Callithrix jacchus: one gene and its partners. The protein of the gene in region 3 interacts with the protein of the main gene of each other region in a pairwise test. Links are inferred from orthologs where the notes say so. Each region holds a gene or a part of one and is shown on either strand. Other genes may lie near its edges.

Evidence for each region. The genes of interacting proteins can lie anywhere in the genome.
Region 1: the proteins of UBE2E1 (region 3) and ZNRF2 interact in a two-hybrid assay, tested with the Homo sapiens proteins (2 studies listed by BioGRID). The link is inferred for Callithrix jacchus from reciprocal best matches to the Homo sapiens genes UBE2E1 and ZNRF2.
Region 2: the proteins of UBE2E1 (region 3) and RNF25 interact in binary tests that used the Homo sapiens proteins (3 or more experiments, as listed by UniProt). The link is inferred for Callithrix jacchus from reciprocal best matches to the Homo sapiens genes UBE2E1 and RNF25.
Region 4: the proteins of UBE2E1 (region 3) and CNOT4 interact in a two-hybrid assay, tested with the Homo sapiens proteins (2 studies listed by BioGRID). The link is inferred for Callithrix jacchus from reciprocal best matches to the Homo sapiens genes UBE2E1 and CNOT4.

Annotation. Positions count from the first base shown.
Region 1 is NC_133512.1:27,932,131-27,936,181, reverse strand, and holds the start of ZNRF2 (E3 ubiquitin-protein ligase ZNRF2), read left to right. Parts: upstream 1-1,244; 5' UTR 1,245-1,973; coding exon 1,974-2,442; intron 2,443-4,051. UniProt on the Homo sapiens protein: E3 ubiquitin-protein ligase that plays a role in the establishment and maintenance of neuronal transmission and plasticity. Ubiquitinates the Na(+)/K(+) ATPase alpha-1 subunit/ATP1A1 and thereby influences its endocytosis and/or degradation.
Region 2 is NC_133507.1:140,408,431-140,412,613, forward strand, and holds the start of RNF25 (E3 ubiquitin-protein ligase RNF25), read right to left. Parts: upstream 2,808-4,183; 5' UTR 2,792-2,807; coding exon 2,751-2,791; intron 1-2,750. Other genes in the region: STK36 (serine/threonine-protein kinase 36), read left to right, coding at 3,661-3,744. UniProt on the Homo sapiens protein: E3 ubiquitin-protein ligase that plays a key role in the RNF14-RNF25 translation quality control pathway, a pathway that takes place when a ribosome has stalled during translation, and which promotes ubiquitination and degradation of translation factors on stalled ribosomes.
Region 3 is NC_133518.1:62,152,690-62,156,808, reverse strand, and holds the start of UBE2E1 (ubiquitin-conjugating enzyme E2 E1), read right to left. Parts: upstream 2,804-4,119; 5' UTR 2,697-2,803; intron 1,539-2,696; 5' UTR 1,506-1,538; coding exon 1,354-1,505; intron 1-1,353. UniProt on the Homo sapiens protein: Accepts ubiquitin from the E1 complex and catalyzes its covalent attachment to other proteins. Catalyzes the covalent attachment of ISG15 to other proteins. Mediates the selective degradation of short-lived and abnormal proteins.
Region 4 is NC_133512.1:111,770,564-111,774,750, reverse strand, and holds the start of CNOT4 (CCR4-NOT transcription complex subunit 4), read right to left. Parts: upstream 2,808-4,187; 5' UTR 2,594-2,807; intron 1,865-2,593; exon of another isoform or gene 1,779-1,864; intron 1-1,778. UniProt on the Homo sapiens protein: Has E3 ubiquitin ligase activity, promoting ubiquitination and degradation of target proteins. Involved in activation of the JAK/STAT pathway. Catalyzes ubiquitination of methylated RBM15.

The DNA.
Region 1 (4,051 bases), on a different chromosome or scaffold from region 3:
CTGTAGTTTTACAAAACACCACTTGCTATTATTTTCAGGTGAGGATATGTAGAGAGACTAGACATTTTCAAAATGGGAGCCTCAGAGCAGGCTGTTCCCTGGGTATCCAGACCCCATTCTGCCACGGAGAGACCACACGAACACCGAGGAATGCACTGAGGAAAATTTTATTACACTCCATTTTAGAGAAATTATAGGATCTTAAAGATGCGGGTACCCTAGAATTTAACCAAACAGTTTAGGTAAGAAACCTAAAGTCAGCAGGGTGCGGTAGCTTATGCCTGTAATCCCAACACTTTGGGAGGCGGAGGCGGGTGGATCACTTGAGGACAGGAGTTCGAGACCAGCCTGGCCAACATGGTGAAACCCCGTCACTACTAAAAATACAAAAATTAGCCAGGCGTGGTGGCACGTTCCTATAATCCGAGCTACTCTGGAGGCTGAGGCAGGAGAATCGCTCGAACCCGGGAGGCGGAAGTTGCAGTGGCAGTGAGTCGACACAGCACTACTGCACTCTAGCCTGGGTGACTGAGTGAGACTCCGTCTCAAAACAAAAATAAAAACAAACCTAAAGCCCAAAAAGGTAAAAGGTAAAATAATTTGCTCATTACACATACTTTGGTGTTGCGCCTAAATCCTAGGTTTCATGAGTCAGGTGCAGCGTTCCTGGCACCACGGTTTTTGCCCTACCACGGAGGGTCAAGCTGGATTATCCTGATTTCTTCCAACTCCACGCTTCCTCCCGGGTTGGTGTTCCATGAGTAAGTCTAATTCAGATCAAGCTGGCTTGTGGCTTCTGTGTTTTTTTTAAATCAGTGTGTAACACCAACACCCACCGAAAGCAAATGGCTCTGGGCACAGGATACAGCCATTCACGCCCCCTGCCAGGAAAAGCTGCAGCGGACACTGGCTCCTCCAGCGTCGCCCGGCCACGTGCGGGAGGAGGGGCCGCCTTCTGGTTGGCGCACCGGGTCCGTCCCTCCTAACGGCGTAGGCCCCGCGGTGGAGGCGAGGGCGCGCCCTGGCTGGGAGGGCAGGGCGAGAGACCTGTCCATCAACGAGTCCGCGGGTGGCGGCACCTACAGCACCGCGGTACCTAGGCGAGGCGGAGCCGGGGCGGGCAGGCCGCGGCCGGGGGAGGCGGAGCCAGGCCGGCGGGAGCCAATCGTCCAGGCGGCGCGAGGGGGCGGGGGCGGGGTCACCGAGCGCGACCCAAACACAAGGGCCGGGCGCACCCTGCCGCCGAGCCGTTCCGCGGCCTTCCGGCGCGAAGGCCAGGAACCTCCTCCCCTCTTTGGCACCCCCACCTTCGCAGCTCAGATCCTGTCGCCAGCCCGGCCCCTCCTTCACGGGGGAGCGAGGCGACGGTTGCCGGGAAGCGCGCGCCACCCCTCCCTCCCATTCTTCGTCCTCTCCTCGCGCGCCACCCGTTTTTCCTCTTTCTCCGTTAATAACAGTTGGGTGGCTGGGGGAGGAGGGAAGGTGGCCTCGGCGAAGTCTGGGCGGGCACCTCCCACTCAGCCGCCTGCTGCCGTGTGAGCCGTAGGATGGCGGCGGTACCAGCGGCCGCCCGAGAGGAGGCGGTGCCGAGGCCCGGGGCGCCGAGCGCGGCGGCAGAGAGCGGCAGCGGCCCGTCGTGGCGCACCAGAACCGAAACCAGCGGCAGCCGCACGTCCACCTGAGCCGCCTCTTCCCGCTGGAGCTTGCGAGCGGTGCCCGCAGCCGGATTCCCTTCCTCTTCGCGTCCCCTCGTCTCCTGCGCCCGCGTCAGGCCGCCGGCCTCGCCCACCGCCTGGAGAAGAGCGCCCAGAGCTCCGACTGCCCCTCGGGGCGCCGGGCGGCGGACCTGGACGTACGGGGACCTCTCTGGGCAGGCCGCGGCGCCTCGGCCCTGCCCTCACGCTTCTGCCCTCGCTCCCACCCTCCCGGAGCTCCGGGCGTTGCGCGCGGGCCCGGCCCGGGGCAGGGCGGACATGGGCGCCAAGCAGAGCGGCCCGGCCGCTGCTAACGGCCGCACCCGCGCGTACTCGGGCTCGGATCTGCCTTCCAGCAGCAGTGGAGGGGCCAATGGGACCGCGGGCGGAGGCGGCGGCGGCGCTCGGGCCGCCGCCGCGGGGAGGTTCCCGGCTCAGGTGCCCGGCGCGCACCAGCCCAGCGCCTCGGGCGGCGCCGCAGCGGCCTCGGCGGCCCCGGTAGCCCCGGCCCCGCGCAGCCGCTCCCTTGGCGGAGCCGTGGGGAGCGTGGCGTCGGGGGCTCGCGCGGCGCAGTCCTCCTTCAGCATCCCGAACAGCAGCAGCGGCCCGTACGGCTCGCAGGACTCGGTGCACAGCAGCCCCGAGGACGGCGGCGGCGGCAGGGACCGGCCGGCAGGCGGGAGCCCCGGCGGGCCGCGTCTGGTGATCGGCTCCTTACCAGCTCACCTCTCGCCGCACATGTTTGGAGGTACGGCCCCTTCTCCGCGCGTTTGCGCCCGGCCCTCCCGCGGCTGCACGTGGGCAGCGGCCGCCGGCTATTTTTACCCTTCTCCTTTTCTCCTTCGGCCGGGGCGCCTGGGGGCTGTTGCCCGGCCCGGCTGGCGCGCGTCTCCATCCTGGGAAGAAAGCCGGCAGTTAACACCTGCGGTGCTGGTACTGCGTAGCGTGGTTTTGTTTTTAAACATCGTAAGCACCCTCACCTCTGCGGCTCCCCAATAGAGAAGGTCCATTTTCCAGTGAGGTGACTGGAGCAAATGTTGTTTTACAACCAACCAACGAAACAGCCCTTGAGGTTGTGGCTTTTAGTACCAGGAAGTCAGGAGGAGATACGTTGCTAAATGTAGTTATATCTGGGGACTCCAGTGAGGAACAGCTTTTAAAGGCCAAAAGTCAAAGGTTCTCAAATGAACATTGAGTTACCATCTTTGGGCCGACTTTTAATATAAAGCTGTAATCCTTAAATCTGTGTCAGTCCCACTTTGTCAGTTTAATTGGATGAATGCGTTAATGAAAAGTTTGTTTTTAAACCCCACTTAAAAATTTAGACTTAAAAAATTAGACTTACTGTACTTCCAATTATTTAATTTTTTAATATGTATGACAGCATTATTATGTTTATTCAGTTTCAAATTGTATAAATGTTTGGTTACATACAAATAACAGTTAATGTGAGTCCTGCTTAATTTGGACAGCATTTTAGAAATGGATGAGTTTCTTAAGGAAATAAAAATTTTGCAACTCTGCCTACAAGGTAGGCTTGGTTCTTTTGAAGAGCGGTATTGACTAGAGTTAAGGAAAAGTCAGTTGTGAAAAATGGACATTTTTAATAGCAAAATGATGTGCTCTTCTATAGAAAGAGGAGGAAGGGTGCATTGTCTTGGGGAAAATGAATTCTGCCTCTTCAGTTATGTTTTATGCTGATCTGCTTTATTGAAAACGCTAATAGTAAATGAATCAGGACCACCTCCCTGCTTTATGAAAATAAATAGAAGTATAGATAGATAAGCATTCCCATGTCATTGCATTATGTATATGATATTAGAGAAATTCACAGCTGAGCACAGACGAGCAGCGAAAACACCATCCCTTATATTTTTGTGCCTCTTTTACTCATATTTATAAACGTAGGCACTTTGAGTAGAGACTTAGTAAAGTGGAATACTTAGTAATTTATCTGTTCTGATGTTTGTACTATCAACATTCACTCCAGCATAAGTTAAAAATAGGAGTGTCTTGTTTAGTTTTTCCTATTTAGCAACGCTTTGCACATTCAATATGGAACAACGCTTAACTTATAATTAGCTATCTTGTTTTAAAGTAATTTTTGCTTCTTAATTAAATATATTCATCCTTCCTAAAATTGGGCCATTTTTAAACATCATTTGCTTTTGAGTAAAAGAACTGTCCTTAGAGTGATTTGATCCCAACTGATCTAACAGTTGAAGGTGCTGTAGTCCACATTGAAGAATTTAAAAGGCAGTTTCTGAGAATTGGTGATCAGTGCGAAAATGAAGGACAAACTGGTTTTTAATATTTTTTTAAGTGAAAATTTGCATTTGGCAGTTATCAAAAGATGA
Region 2 (4,183 bases), on a different chromosome or scaffold from region 3:
TAAAATGACTAACCAAGGCTTAACATAGGTGGAACTGGGGCCAGAGCCAGGTTTCCTGACTCCCTGTTTAAGTTTCATTCCACTTTATGGCTGACTCTCTGGTCTAGAAATATGGCACCCATTTATTAGCATTAACGTTAACCAATATTACGCCAGTCTTTCCCTACATCACTGTCCAGTGTGGATCTCAGTGCCTTGGCTACTGTCTATACCCACTGTTAACACCAGTCATCACAAGCCTGCTTAAAGGAGATACCAACCTCAACACAACAGGTCTAGGGTGGTGTAAAGGCTGTGTTGTAATGAAGAGCCAGCAGCCTCAGAGTTAGTAACAGGTACTAATCACTTATTGGCTATGTGATCTGTGAAGTGACCTCTCCGTAAGCTTAAGTTATCCTGTCTATCACATATAGGTAATACCACCTATTCTCTAGGGCCATTATGAAGATAAAACGTGACTTGTTTATATAAAGTACCTAATAATATCTGCGCTATAATAGCTAGGCTATGTCCTCTTTTTTTTCCTGTCCGTATATAACCTTCTCCCTTAAAAGGAAAGAGGGAGGGGGGGAGGTAGTTAGAGTATTCTGGATGTATTTATGACCCTGGCTGTCTAGTTGATCTAGATCAGCCTGTTGAGATTAGGTCTATCGTTCTGATGTAAATCAGAGGACACACATGCTTCAGCATAGGAACAGCAATTGAAATGAAATTAAAGCTGAGTGATGAGTTTGTGTCTACAGCTCTACCCAGGTGATATATGGAAAAATGCATACTTTGCTTTCCTACGCGACTCCCTGTTTATTCTAAGAGTAAGGCTGCCCCAGCAGGACCTATGTCAGTGTTGTTAAGTCTTAGGCAGAAACTTCAAAATATAAAATATAAAGCTTTACACCTCACAGATAGCAGTGTTATTTTGACTGATATGGGAGTGGGAGTCTCAGTACTACAAGCTGCTGCACTCACTGTTGCTCTCTCCATGGCTCAAGGTGTCTCCCTCGAATCTTAAAAGTTCCCCCTAAACAGGTGAGTGTGCGGGTCATGCCTATAAATTATCCCAGCACTTTGGGTGGCTGAGATGGGAGGCCAGGAGCTAGGCTGAGATGGGAGGCTAGGACCAGCCTAGGCAACAAAGCAAGATGCTGTTTCTACAAAAAATAATAAATTAGCTAGACACGGTGGTCCCAGCTACTTGGGAGGCTGAGGCAGAAAAATCACTGGAGCCCAAGAGGTCAAGGCTTTAGTTAGCCATGATCTCGCCACTGTACTACTCCAGCCTGGGTGACAAAGTAAGACTCTGTCTCTTAAAAAAAAAAAAAGTTTCCCTGAACACTTTAAAAACCACTAGTCTAGATAGTCTTAATAAAGGCCAGTACTAGCTGGGATCCCTGAACCAATGTAACACTGAGGTGTGGCCTCAGTCAAGTGGACCTTCAATACTTTGCCCACCCTAGTTAATTATGTGGATCCTGGATGGGATGGATAGTGGTAAGGTGGTGGCAATATGGTGGGGGGAGGGGCAGGCACTGAAGAATGTCCTAGTACAAAGAACCTAAGGTGTGGAGCCAGACAGATGTGGATTTCTAGTCATAATTTTCTACCTTTTGGCAACTTACTTTACTTCTTTGGGGCTCATTTAGTCTTCCCAGGTGCCTGTATCTCAGTTATTAATGAAAAGGAGGCTGGGCGTGGTGGCTCACGCCTGTAATTCCAGCACCTTGGGAGACTGAGGTGGGAGGATCACTTGAGCCCAGGGGTTCAAGATCAGCCAAGCCAACATGGCAAAACTCTGTCTCTACAAAAAATACAAAAATTAGCCGGCCACGGTGACGTGCACCTGTGGTCTCGCTACTCGGCAGGCTGAGGCAGGAGGATCACCTGAGCCTGGGGAGGTCAAGGCTGCAGTGAGCAATAACTGCACCACTGCACACTAGTATGGGCGAGAGTGAGACCCTGTCTCAAAAATAAATAAATACATTTAAAAAAAAAAGCAAGCAAACAAACCCAAAAAACAAAAAGCAGACAAGTATGTTACAAATCCATCTTGGTCTTCTCAACTATTCTGAGGTAGATGCCACACCCACTTTTTTACAGCTGAGGACACTGACTCACAGATGCTAGGTGGACTGGTTAGCATCACACAGCTAATAAAATACAGAGTTAACCCACATTTACCCTACTTTCAAATCCCAGAGTCCTTCCATGTTCCAGTCTTTTGTTAAGAATGCTTGAGAGAAGGACTAGAGGGACTTTATGTGAGGTGTAAAGCTTTATTCAGACAATCGTCCTCACTAGTGCTGTCTGGGAGAGAGAAGGTTGAGGGAAGCGTCGGCAGAAAAAGGCTGATCCAAGGGGAAAGGGGGACCGGAGCTCGAGGGCAGTGGTTCCGAGAAGGTGAAGGGGAGATGGTGAGGTCTGACGAGCAGGCTTCCCCCAAAGCCCCTGAGAAAATTCATTTCAAGAGGAGAGAAAGGGATGGTGTGAGGCTGGAGGAAAGGGGATCGCACCGGATAAGGAGAAGCCCGAACTGGCCCGGCGGGCGCAGACCGGGTCTTCACTCACTCAGATCAGCGCCCCTCCACCCTCCCCTTCCCCAGTCCAGAAGCTCTCCCAGAGGAGATGTCAGCATCTCTGCCATCCCTCATCCCTCGCTTCACCCGACACGCCCGCTGTACAGACTGTCGGCGACAGCCGCTAGGCCTCTGGACTAAATCCAGGCCATCAGCCAAAGCCCATGCCCCCAAAGTTACCAGTCCTCCTCCCCTGCAGCTGCAGACGCTGACGCCGCCATATCTTCTCCGGCCCGCAGCCGGAACCGGAAATGCCCTTAGGGAAGTCGAAGGCGGAAAACTAAGAGAGGTGGGCAGCTAGCGTCGTTTCTAGGCAACCGTAGATTCCGGGTCCATAGCGGGGCCTGATGGCCTTGAGGCAGTTCGGAAGTATGCCAGGAAGTGCCCTTGTGCTATCCGTTGTCCCTCCCACACCTCTGAGCGCCTTTGTCCTTTGAACTTCTCATCGGTTCTAGCGAGTAAAATTTAAGAAAGTGAGCCAAAAGAGATCGGTGGGAGAGGGGGGGTGGAGAAGAATTATAAGTCAGGCAAAGTACTCAGGCAGTCAGAATAAATGGGGCTAAAGGCCAGGGAATCTGTCCCTCGGTCTGAGGAGCTTGGACGCTCCTAGGCTGGGGGTGAGAGAGGGACTCTGGCCTGTGAAGCGCACGGGCCAGGGGGTCTGAGAGCGGGTGCTGAGGAGGCTGGGAGTGGCAGGAACTTGGGGGAGACTCGAAGGAACAGGGTTGAGTGGGCAAAGGCTAGGTTGAGAGAGCAGGGTTGAGTGGGCGAGCTGGGTGGAGGGAGAAGGGAGACCAGGTGTCAGGTGGGTGTGGGGCTGGGTTGGGGCCAGGAGGCTGAAAGTCAGGAGGAACTACAAAGAGACGCACTGTTTGTTCCAAGATCTCATCATCTTTCCATCCATTCTACCCTCCCATGTTTTTTTGAGGCTTACGTTATTGTGAAAAAGAGGAAAAGGCAAGGTGGCTAACATTTTTTCTTTCTCATGCCCGAACTAGGCCTCCCAGATGTTGTGGAACTGTCCCTGGATCTATAGCTCTTTACCACCATCTCTACGTTTTTCCTTCTAAGAGATCCTGAAACCTCTGTCATGGAAAAGTACCACGTATTGGAGATGATTGGAGAAGGCTCTTTTGGAAGGGTGTACAAGGGTCGAAGAAAATACAGTGCTCAGGTGTTGCACAAAGAGGGATACCTTTTGGGTGGGATTTGGTACCTCCAACCCGGGTGGAAAATGGGTCAAGAAGAGATGTATTTCTACCAGTTTGTATTTCTAAGGCACTGACTCCCTCATACTTCTTATGGAGTATAAACTCTGAAGTTGGATTACTTGGGTGCAAATTCCATCTCCACTGCTTTCTAGCCTTAGAATTATAGATAAATTACTTAACTTCTCTATGTCTCAAATTCCTCATCTCTAGAATGGGGATAAGAACAGCAACTGATTGATGGAGTTTGAGGATTAAATATGTTGTCACATTAAATCACTTAGTACAGTGCCGGGCTCTTAGTAAACAACAAATATTATTAGTTTCTAGCGTACCATCTAGTAAGAGTTAAACCACTTGAACTCTATTATTCCCTCTTCGTTTTTTCTTCCTTTCTTTTCCCCT
Region 3 (4,119 bases):
GCCAAAAGCTAAATGAGGATCAGGGAGCCTAGAGGCTTGAGGTGGAGGGCAGTGCTGCGAAAAGGCCCATCCCAAGTGGGCAGGGTGGATGCCAGGTTCCAGGAGAACCAAACAGGGCTAATCAGTGAGGGTCAGTTAGGCCTCCTGGGAAGATTTACGATCAAACCAAACCTATAAAAATGAGAACAATCTTGCAGAGGCACCTAAGACCTCCACACTATTTTTTAAAAGTCACTCCATCAGCCCATGGTTAGGTCACCAAAACACTGCCAAATTTTCAAATTACAAGTCAGGCAGAATGACAGAACAAACCCTCAAACCCTGACTTCCTGGCTCACTACTCAGTGGACAGATCTAAAGTCTCATGTTCCACTTTACATTAAAAATTTTTAAGGGTTTCTCTACCTAACCCACCATTCGGACTCCCTACTATGTTCCCGTTTTGCCACCTTTTTAACTGTCTAACTCTGAGAGCAGAAGGATTTCTAAAAAGGTGTCTCGGAGTTCCTAGGAATCTACTAAAGATTATTTTAAGTGTCATGGGGATCAGAGGATATTACTGAAGAATGGCAGGTGTAAAAAGTAGCTACCTCCAAGAGCTGTAAGAGGAAAAGAATAAAGAAAAAGAGACACAGCTTAAATTGGAAAAAAATAAGGCAAAGTAGCATTTTTACAGCATGAGGACAGCAAATAGCATGAAAAAAAAGTCTCCCTGAAATTTGGTAAACTGAAGTTCTCAAAGAGAATCACAAAAATAACCTACAATAACCATTTTACATCACTTACTGATTCATTCGTCTCAACTCTCAGAAAAATCTCTTTAAATTCCATCAGAGAATATCTGTCTTCACCTACGAAATTTTGTACCTGCTCATATGAGTTTCTTATTCCTTTTACAATTTGTGGAGAAAGCTCTATTCCAAAAAGATCATCCATGCAACAGGTGAAAAGAAGGTAAAATGGTCATAGAATCCATTTCGATGCAGTTGTCTGAGCAGGTTATTAGTAATTAAGAAACAGGATGATGGCCTTGGGGAAGGTCACAGATTAACCATTAAGTGGGACAAGGAATCTGAAATCAGATTTGGGGCTCGCTAATAAAAGTAGATGAGGATTGTTACAAACTTCGGCGAGAAAAGCGAGAGCCAAGCCGCAACAGCTGCATGTGGGCAATGATTTTAAAAAACAGAAGCAGCAATAGAGAAAATAATTAGGGTTTCCAAGGCCCTTCTTTCATTTTTAAGAACACACAAACCGTGAGGAGCGTTTAAGCTATCCTCGTTGGGAGGCAGACCAAATGCAGCAAGAGGCAGTTCGGAAAATAGGAAGCCTGTGGAAAAAAGAGTACGGTACCTCTTGGCGCTGGTGGAGAGGAGTTTGGAGTTTTTGCTCATGCTGACTTTACTCTCCTTCTTCTTGGGGGTGTTTGTTTCTTTCTCGGTTTGCTGGTTGGAAGATGAAGATGAGGAGGAGCTGGTGCTGGCCCTCGAATCGTCATCCGACATATCGAACCCCCCACCCCACCCCGCAAACAGCCCCTGCAGGGGGAGGGAAACAAAACAGAAACACACAAACCATGCAGCCAGTGTAAATAAGGAACTCGGGTGCTGTCAGGAGGGCATTGACCAGGGGCGCACGCGGCCGCCCACCGCCCTCCACTCGCTTTTCAAAGTCTGCAGGCCCATTAAGGCTTTTGCAAATCGGACGCGGCTTGTTTGTTTATTTTTGGCCCCAAGTAGGGAACGCGGTGGGAAAACGGTCTGGAGCTCGGAGAGCAGCCCCTCCCTCACCCCCCGGGGCTCTCCGCAGGGCAGGGAGGGAGTAACCAGGAGGCGAAGAAGGGCAGGGTGGGGGCGCGGGGCGCCGCAGCGGGGCAGGGAGGGAAGGTCCCGGCGGCCGGCCGGCCTCGGGGCTGTTTTTGTACGCTTTCCGGGGGTCGTGGGGGACCGGTGGCCCGGGTGAGACTGTGGGGCCACGAACGGAGTTTGGCGAGGTCGGGAAGAGAGGAGGGGCGGGAAGGAGTAAGAGAGGAAGCCGAAACAGGGGGACGGAGGCGGGGAACGGGTGCCCGGGTGGGGGAAGGGAGAGGCCGGCGGGGGGCAGGGGCGACGAGGCCCGAGCCCCCCCCCCCCCGCGCCGCGCCCCGACGCCCCTCCCGGGCGGCCTGCCTCTGGGCCGCCCGGCTCAGGGCTGCGCAGCCGGGCGGGGGTCCGGAGCACACGCCCGTTCGCCACTCGTGGAGGGGGATAGGGGCTGCGGCGTGGGGTGGGGGGGGCTCGGCCTCCGCAGCGAAGAAATAACAATGAGCCCTTCCGCCCCGGAGGGGTAAATCCCCAGGAGCCCGCGCCCCTGGGGAAAACAGGGCTCCCCCAACTCCCCCCCACCCCCGCTCCCGGCCCCCTCGGCGGCCAGTGGGGGGGCTCCTGGGGCAGCGCTGACAGTTCGAGCCACAATGACCCCCAGCCCCGACGCGGGCGGCCCCGCAACCCACGCGGCCCGGGGTCCCTGCCCATCCCCCGCGGGCGGGCCCGGGACCCCTGGGGCTCCCCAGCCCCTCTCCGCCACCACCCCTCCCCCGGCCCCGTGTCCGGCGCCCCGGCGGCCGGGGCGGTGCGGGTCGGGGACGGCGGCGAGGGGTGTCCCCGAGGCCGGCGGCGCGGCCGGGGGGCGGCGGGCCGCTGGGGGGATCCCCGTACCTCTCTTTGTGTCTGGCTCCTCCGTGCCGCCGCGGCGGCTGCTGCTGCGGCTGCGGCTGGGCCTGGCCACTCGTGTCTCTCTCTCGCTGGGAGAGAAGCGGAAGTGCAGCAACAGCAACTATTAAACAGGCAATGGCTTCCCCCAGCCACACACGCTCGCACACACACCACTCCTCCGCCGCCGCCGCCTCCTCCTCCTCCTCGCCCTCACCCCTCCCCCACCCGGCCCGGTCCCACCCACCCGCGCTCCTCTCCCCCTGCAACACCTCCTGAGGGTGCGCGAGAAAGACTCAGGAGACCCCAGAAAACCCTGCTCCCCCCGCACCCCCACCCCTGCGTCTCCTCCGGACGCCCGGGAAGGGGGCGAGGGGTGTGAATTTCCTCTTAAGTGGTTTGGGAACCTGGATTCTAGGCGGGAGAGGGGAAGCCGACGGAGGTGGGAGGCTCTGGGAGCGTTTGGAACTAGATGGAATAGGGGGGTCAAGAGAGAAAGTTCTTTCCAGTGAGGGCTTTTGGAAAGGAGAAGGGTAGGGAGGTGGCAAATTGGTGAAAAAGATGGTAATCTGGTGGCAAGCAAGGACTTTGGTCTAGAGAATGCAGCGGGAACTCCACCTAAAAAGCGATCAGTTTAAAGAGAAAAAAAAAAGCACACAACAGGGGTTTTCTTTGGGCTGACACTTGCTTCTTCTAGCAATTTACCTGCTAGGAGTAGAGGTCAGTTTAGGCACGCCTGTGAGAAAATCCCAAACCAGGAGTTTTCTGCTCAGGTCACGCGAGGCACGTGCAGTTTTACAATATTAAATTCTTCCAGTCACTTTTTATACAAAGTGATGTGGTTTTATAAGAGTAATACAAAGGTTTTGGTGACACATGAAACCAACGTGCAACGGGCTTGCAAATGTGAGAAATCACTGGGAATAAGCTATATACTACTGAATTAGACTGGATTTAGAATTTTGGGTGTCATTTTACATTATATATAAGGTTTGGTTTTTGGAAATTGGATGGAAAGTTCTGGGATCGCAGTGCTTTCTTTAGCTACATATAAATACTATTCAGATAATAGTTTTGAAATAATCAGCAATTCTTCTGAATTGTTCCTTATGTAGCATTTTTGTCCAATTAATTTTTTTTAATATTAGGCCATCAAATTACGATTTAGTTTCTCACCTATTTGTCATTTCAGTTGAAGGGAACTAAAGAGATATGTGCCATACAACAGTGCCACATATACAAGGTCTTGTACGTTAAGGACACAGCCTCAGATTTCCACAGGTCACTCTAAATTATCTCATTCAAACTGCCATCATTTTCCACCGCAACAGTGGCTTCAGTTACCACAGGACAACCCAAGATATAAAGCCCATGGCATATCCAGTAACCAGGAAAACAAGCATCCCACGACCCAGCCGAACTCCTAACC
Region 4 (4,187 bases), on a different chromosome or scaffold from region 3:
GATCTGAAGAATTCAACTATTGAACCTGGAAGAAAGTATTCCAAGTTATCAAAAGAAACCATGAAAGTATGTAGCTGCAATGTTCATAACGTTAAGATCAAAAAACTTAAACCACGCAAAATATTTAGAAATCTCAGCTCCCTATTTCCTATCAAAAAGTTAAAGAATTTTAGATATCTTCTCTAAACGTACTAAAGATCCAAAAGTAAATTCCTTTTGACTTCAGAGGGCTGAAACAAAAAATTCAGTAACTGCAGGCAAAAAGTATGGAGGGGAGAAAATTACTTAAGAAAATATTTCGTGAGACAAATACCGTTTTAAGAGAAAAGATGTATTAAAATCACTTACTCCCTTCTACCAAACAGCCCTCCCTTAGAACCCACTGCTTACAATTCAGCCAAGTATGACTGCCAAGAGTTTCTAAACCTGTGTTCGGATTGTTCAAAGTGGAAAGCTTCTCCACCAGTGTATTACAAGAACAAAAAGTATATTTTTTATAGTTAAAGATCAACTATTAAATACACTCCTACTGATAAACTAAATGTAAGTGATTTAAAAAAAAAAAACAAAAAAACCTCAAGTTGTAACTTAGGGCAAAGTTTGCTATATAAATTGCTTGCAATTCTAAGAGCAAGTATTTATTTAGTTTCCCCAAATTGGGGGTTAAGTGGCTGAAAGAAAAAAGAAGTTTCATAAACAGCTTTTCTAACCTTAGTTTACATTTGGCAAAACACATCATTTATCACAATCAAGTGAACATTATGCCAAATGTAAAGATTCCAAATTTTACAGGTAAAATTTCGTAAAAATTACAATAACCCAATAATGGACTGCCACATGAGACTGTCACTGATTTTAAACATTTTTACATACACCTTAAGAACACAATGTCATGTATAGCATGTTTAAACTTGAGATATATGTATTTGAACAATGTAATCCTGGTTGCTTTTCTGATAATTCTTTATCTCACAGTGGTCTGAGTATAGCAAGGGCTCCTTCTTCCCATTACACCATTAGTCCAAACATCTTAATTTTGCTTTCACTAAAACAAGGACATCATAAGCTACCTCTTGCTTCCAGTTTCTGCTTTTTACTGTAGGTAACAATGACAGTGAGTTCCACCAAACACATGTATGTGCACAGCTTTGTCATTCTTTTCCCAGCCCTTCTTTTCTGGAAAAAATACGAGGAACTTAGGTTTACATAAAAATATCGATTTTTCTTTTGCATACATACCGAATGGATTTTCAAAAGAAGACAATTTATTCAGATAACTATCATCCTACAAATGTCAACAGAACTTCCCAAATCCAAAAATAATAACTAAATCTGATATTAACTAGAGAGGAAATTTCCACTGCAATCATAAATAAAATGTCATCGATTAAGCTGAACATCAATAAAACTCAGTCAAAAATCAAGTCTCAATACAGAACCCACATGCAATCAAAATACCACTTATATTTGCTAGCGGAGTTCACAGATGAATTCTGTATGTGCGCCAGATTTCGCTTATTTTGAAATGCTTGGGTTAATATTTATTGGTATAAATCAGAGCCCACACCAAGTGTCCTGGGGAGAGGCAATCCAAAGAACGCTTAGTAGCATGGTAAAACCGGTCCAAAATGAAAAGAAGGAAAGAAAGAAAGAAGCCACGTCCTAACACGACGGAGCGAATAAGCGACAACTAGATCACTGAAAGCAAAACGAAAACGTTCCTCTCCTGAGTAGCCTGAATAAAAGATCTTTACTCATAACGTTTAATAGTATCCTACCTCACTTCATTCACTTTCCAACTTCCTTTACTTTTCAAGGGCCACCACGGGGCATCCCTTTTTCTGGAAGTGTATGTTGAAAGGATCTGTACAAGAAAGAAGGAAGGAACCGACAATTCTCAAGAAGGCTGAGAAACAGGTGGGTTAGCAGGAGCAGAAGCATAATCTAGATACTTAAGGGGCAGCTTTAAGATGACAGATGTGGTAGAAGGAAAGACTGCGAATCGGAAGAAGCTCTAGTGTGGCAGATACACTGTGGGCTGATTGCAAGCACCAGAGGGGGGCAAAGGCTAACTCCAGAGTGGTAGCAGTGGAGCAAAAAACAAGCATCAGGACGAGTGGGCAATGAGCAGCGGGATTAATGAGCAGCAGCAGCAGCAACACGGGTCAGAGTGGAAGTGATGGCTTTGGTCTAGAGAGACGGGAGCCAGTGGGGAAGGACGTCAGACAGGGAAAAGGGGGTTGGGGAAACAGGGAGGACTGAGACCTAAGAATCCTGCCTCTATAAAAATGTAGGGGGGAAAGCTGGAGACCAAAAGACGCCTCGGCTCCCCAATTAAAGAAATTCTCGAAGGAGAGTCGCGGCTTGCCGCCGCGCTGCCTTCGGACCCGCTCCCTTTTCCTGATGGTGACTGCTGTGGCGTAAAGGGGAGAAGGAGGAAGAGGAGGAAAAAGACTGAGGAGGAGGAGGGTGAAGATGAGGCGGGGGGTGGGGAGAAAGGGGGGTGCGGCCTGTACAGTCCCAGAGAAGCCTCCGCTCTCTCGTAGCCGGTCAGCCCCGGGTTTCCCCTAAGCCCAGCCCCGCATAGACTCACCCGCCTGCCTTGCCTCGCTTTTCCCTCAGCCGACTCCACGCGCTGCCGCGTCCTCACAAGAAACCACCGAACGAGCGTCGGGGAAAAAACTCTTCAGCACCGGGCCTGATTGCTTCAGCGAGTCCGACCTTTACGGCTGAGAGAGAGACTCTCAGCTTTCGGTGGGTTCCACAGCCAGACGGGCCACCATCTTACATTAGGGTAAGACTCCTCCGGTCTCCCGTGCGCAGGCGCACGCCGATCGGCTAGGAGGGGCGGGGGAGGGGAGGGAGGAGCGGCGGGCGGCTGAGTGGGAGGTTGCGGCGGCCGCTCCCGCAGCATCCTGGGAGTTGGAGTCCTCGGAGGGTAACCTCCCAGGAGCACGCCGGGAGTTGAAGTCCTCTCTCAGAGGGCGGAGGGGATCGCCCACCTCACGTGGTTGCTGGACTGCTGCCTTTCTTCGTGTTTTCTTTCCTTCTCTGCGCGCGTATGCTGCTTCAATGTCATTTGGTCGGCGGCCTTCGCTAATGATTCCGTGTCCTCGGTGTTGTGGAAATGTGCAACTCCAAAACTGGGACGAGGCTAAACAATTTTTCGGGGAGTTCGGAATGTTTCTTCTCTGCCCCGCCCACCAGAAATATGTGAACGGAGCGGAATAGAGGTGAAGGCAGGTTGGGGGTACACAGAGCGCGGGATTTGATCTAGAGTGAGAATTTTACACAGACTTGATGTCTGTTTGCGAACAAGGAACAAACAGATGCCTGTTTAATTCATTTCCCTGTCCTTTGCGCATTTGGGGGCCACCACCCTTGATCCCTCCTCACTGTAAAATCTCCAGTGAAGAAATAACCTAAATTGTTCTGTGCAGATTGCACAGGAGAACGGAAGGCCTGTGTAGTTAGAATAACGTGCTTCTGTTGGTGTGAATTTGAGAACTTTCGGACCTCAGTGCAAATTAATGTTAGTTCGGTGTCCTGCCAGCACAGCTGTGTGCAAGTACACAAACCCTACACACGTCGGCACATCCCCAAGAACAATGAATGCAGCCGCAGTCCCTGTAAGCACCCAGGAATCTTCAGTCACTAAAGTCAGTCGATGTGCTGGTAGCTCCCTTTTGCCTCCCAGAACTCTGGTGGAAGTGGCGCTCGAAGCAGTAATTTTTGCTTATTGCACGTGTTCTTCACCCATTCATAACGGCAAATAGTGAACTCTTCCCGGCTGCCTGGTACTCTTCTATACACAATGGTGAGCAAAATTGACAAAATTCCCTGTCCCCATTCTAGTGGGTGTGTTGGGATGGGGGAGAGGAGAAGGGAGGCATTGTTATTATTATTTTTTGTTTGTTTAAAGACGAGGTTTCACCGTGTTGGTCAGGCTGATCTTGAACTCCCGACCTCAGGTTATCTGCCCGCCTTGGCCTCCAAAGTGCTTCGATTACAGATGTTAGCCACCACGCCCGGCCAAGGGAGACATTATTTTTTAAAATACATTATTAAAATGTATGTCATAACCTATTTTAAATACTTAAAACAGGAAGGGGGTAGGAAAATAAGCTGCAATTTTAAATCTACAAACTTAATTTCATAATGAGATGCCCTCATTTTTTCTCTTTTTT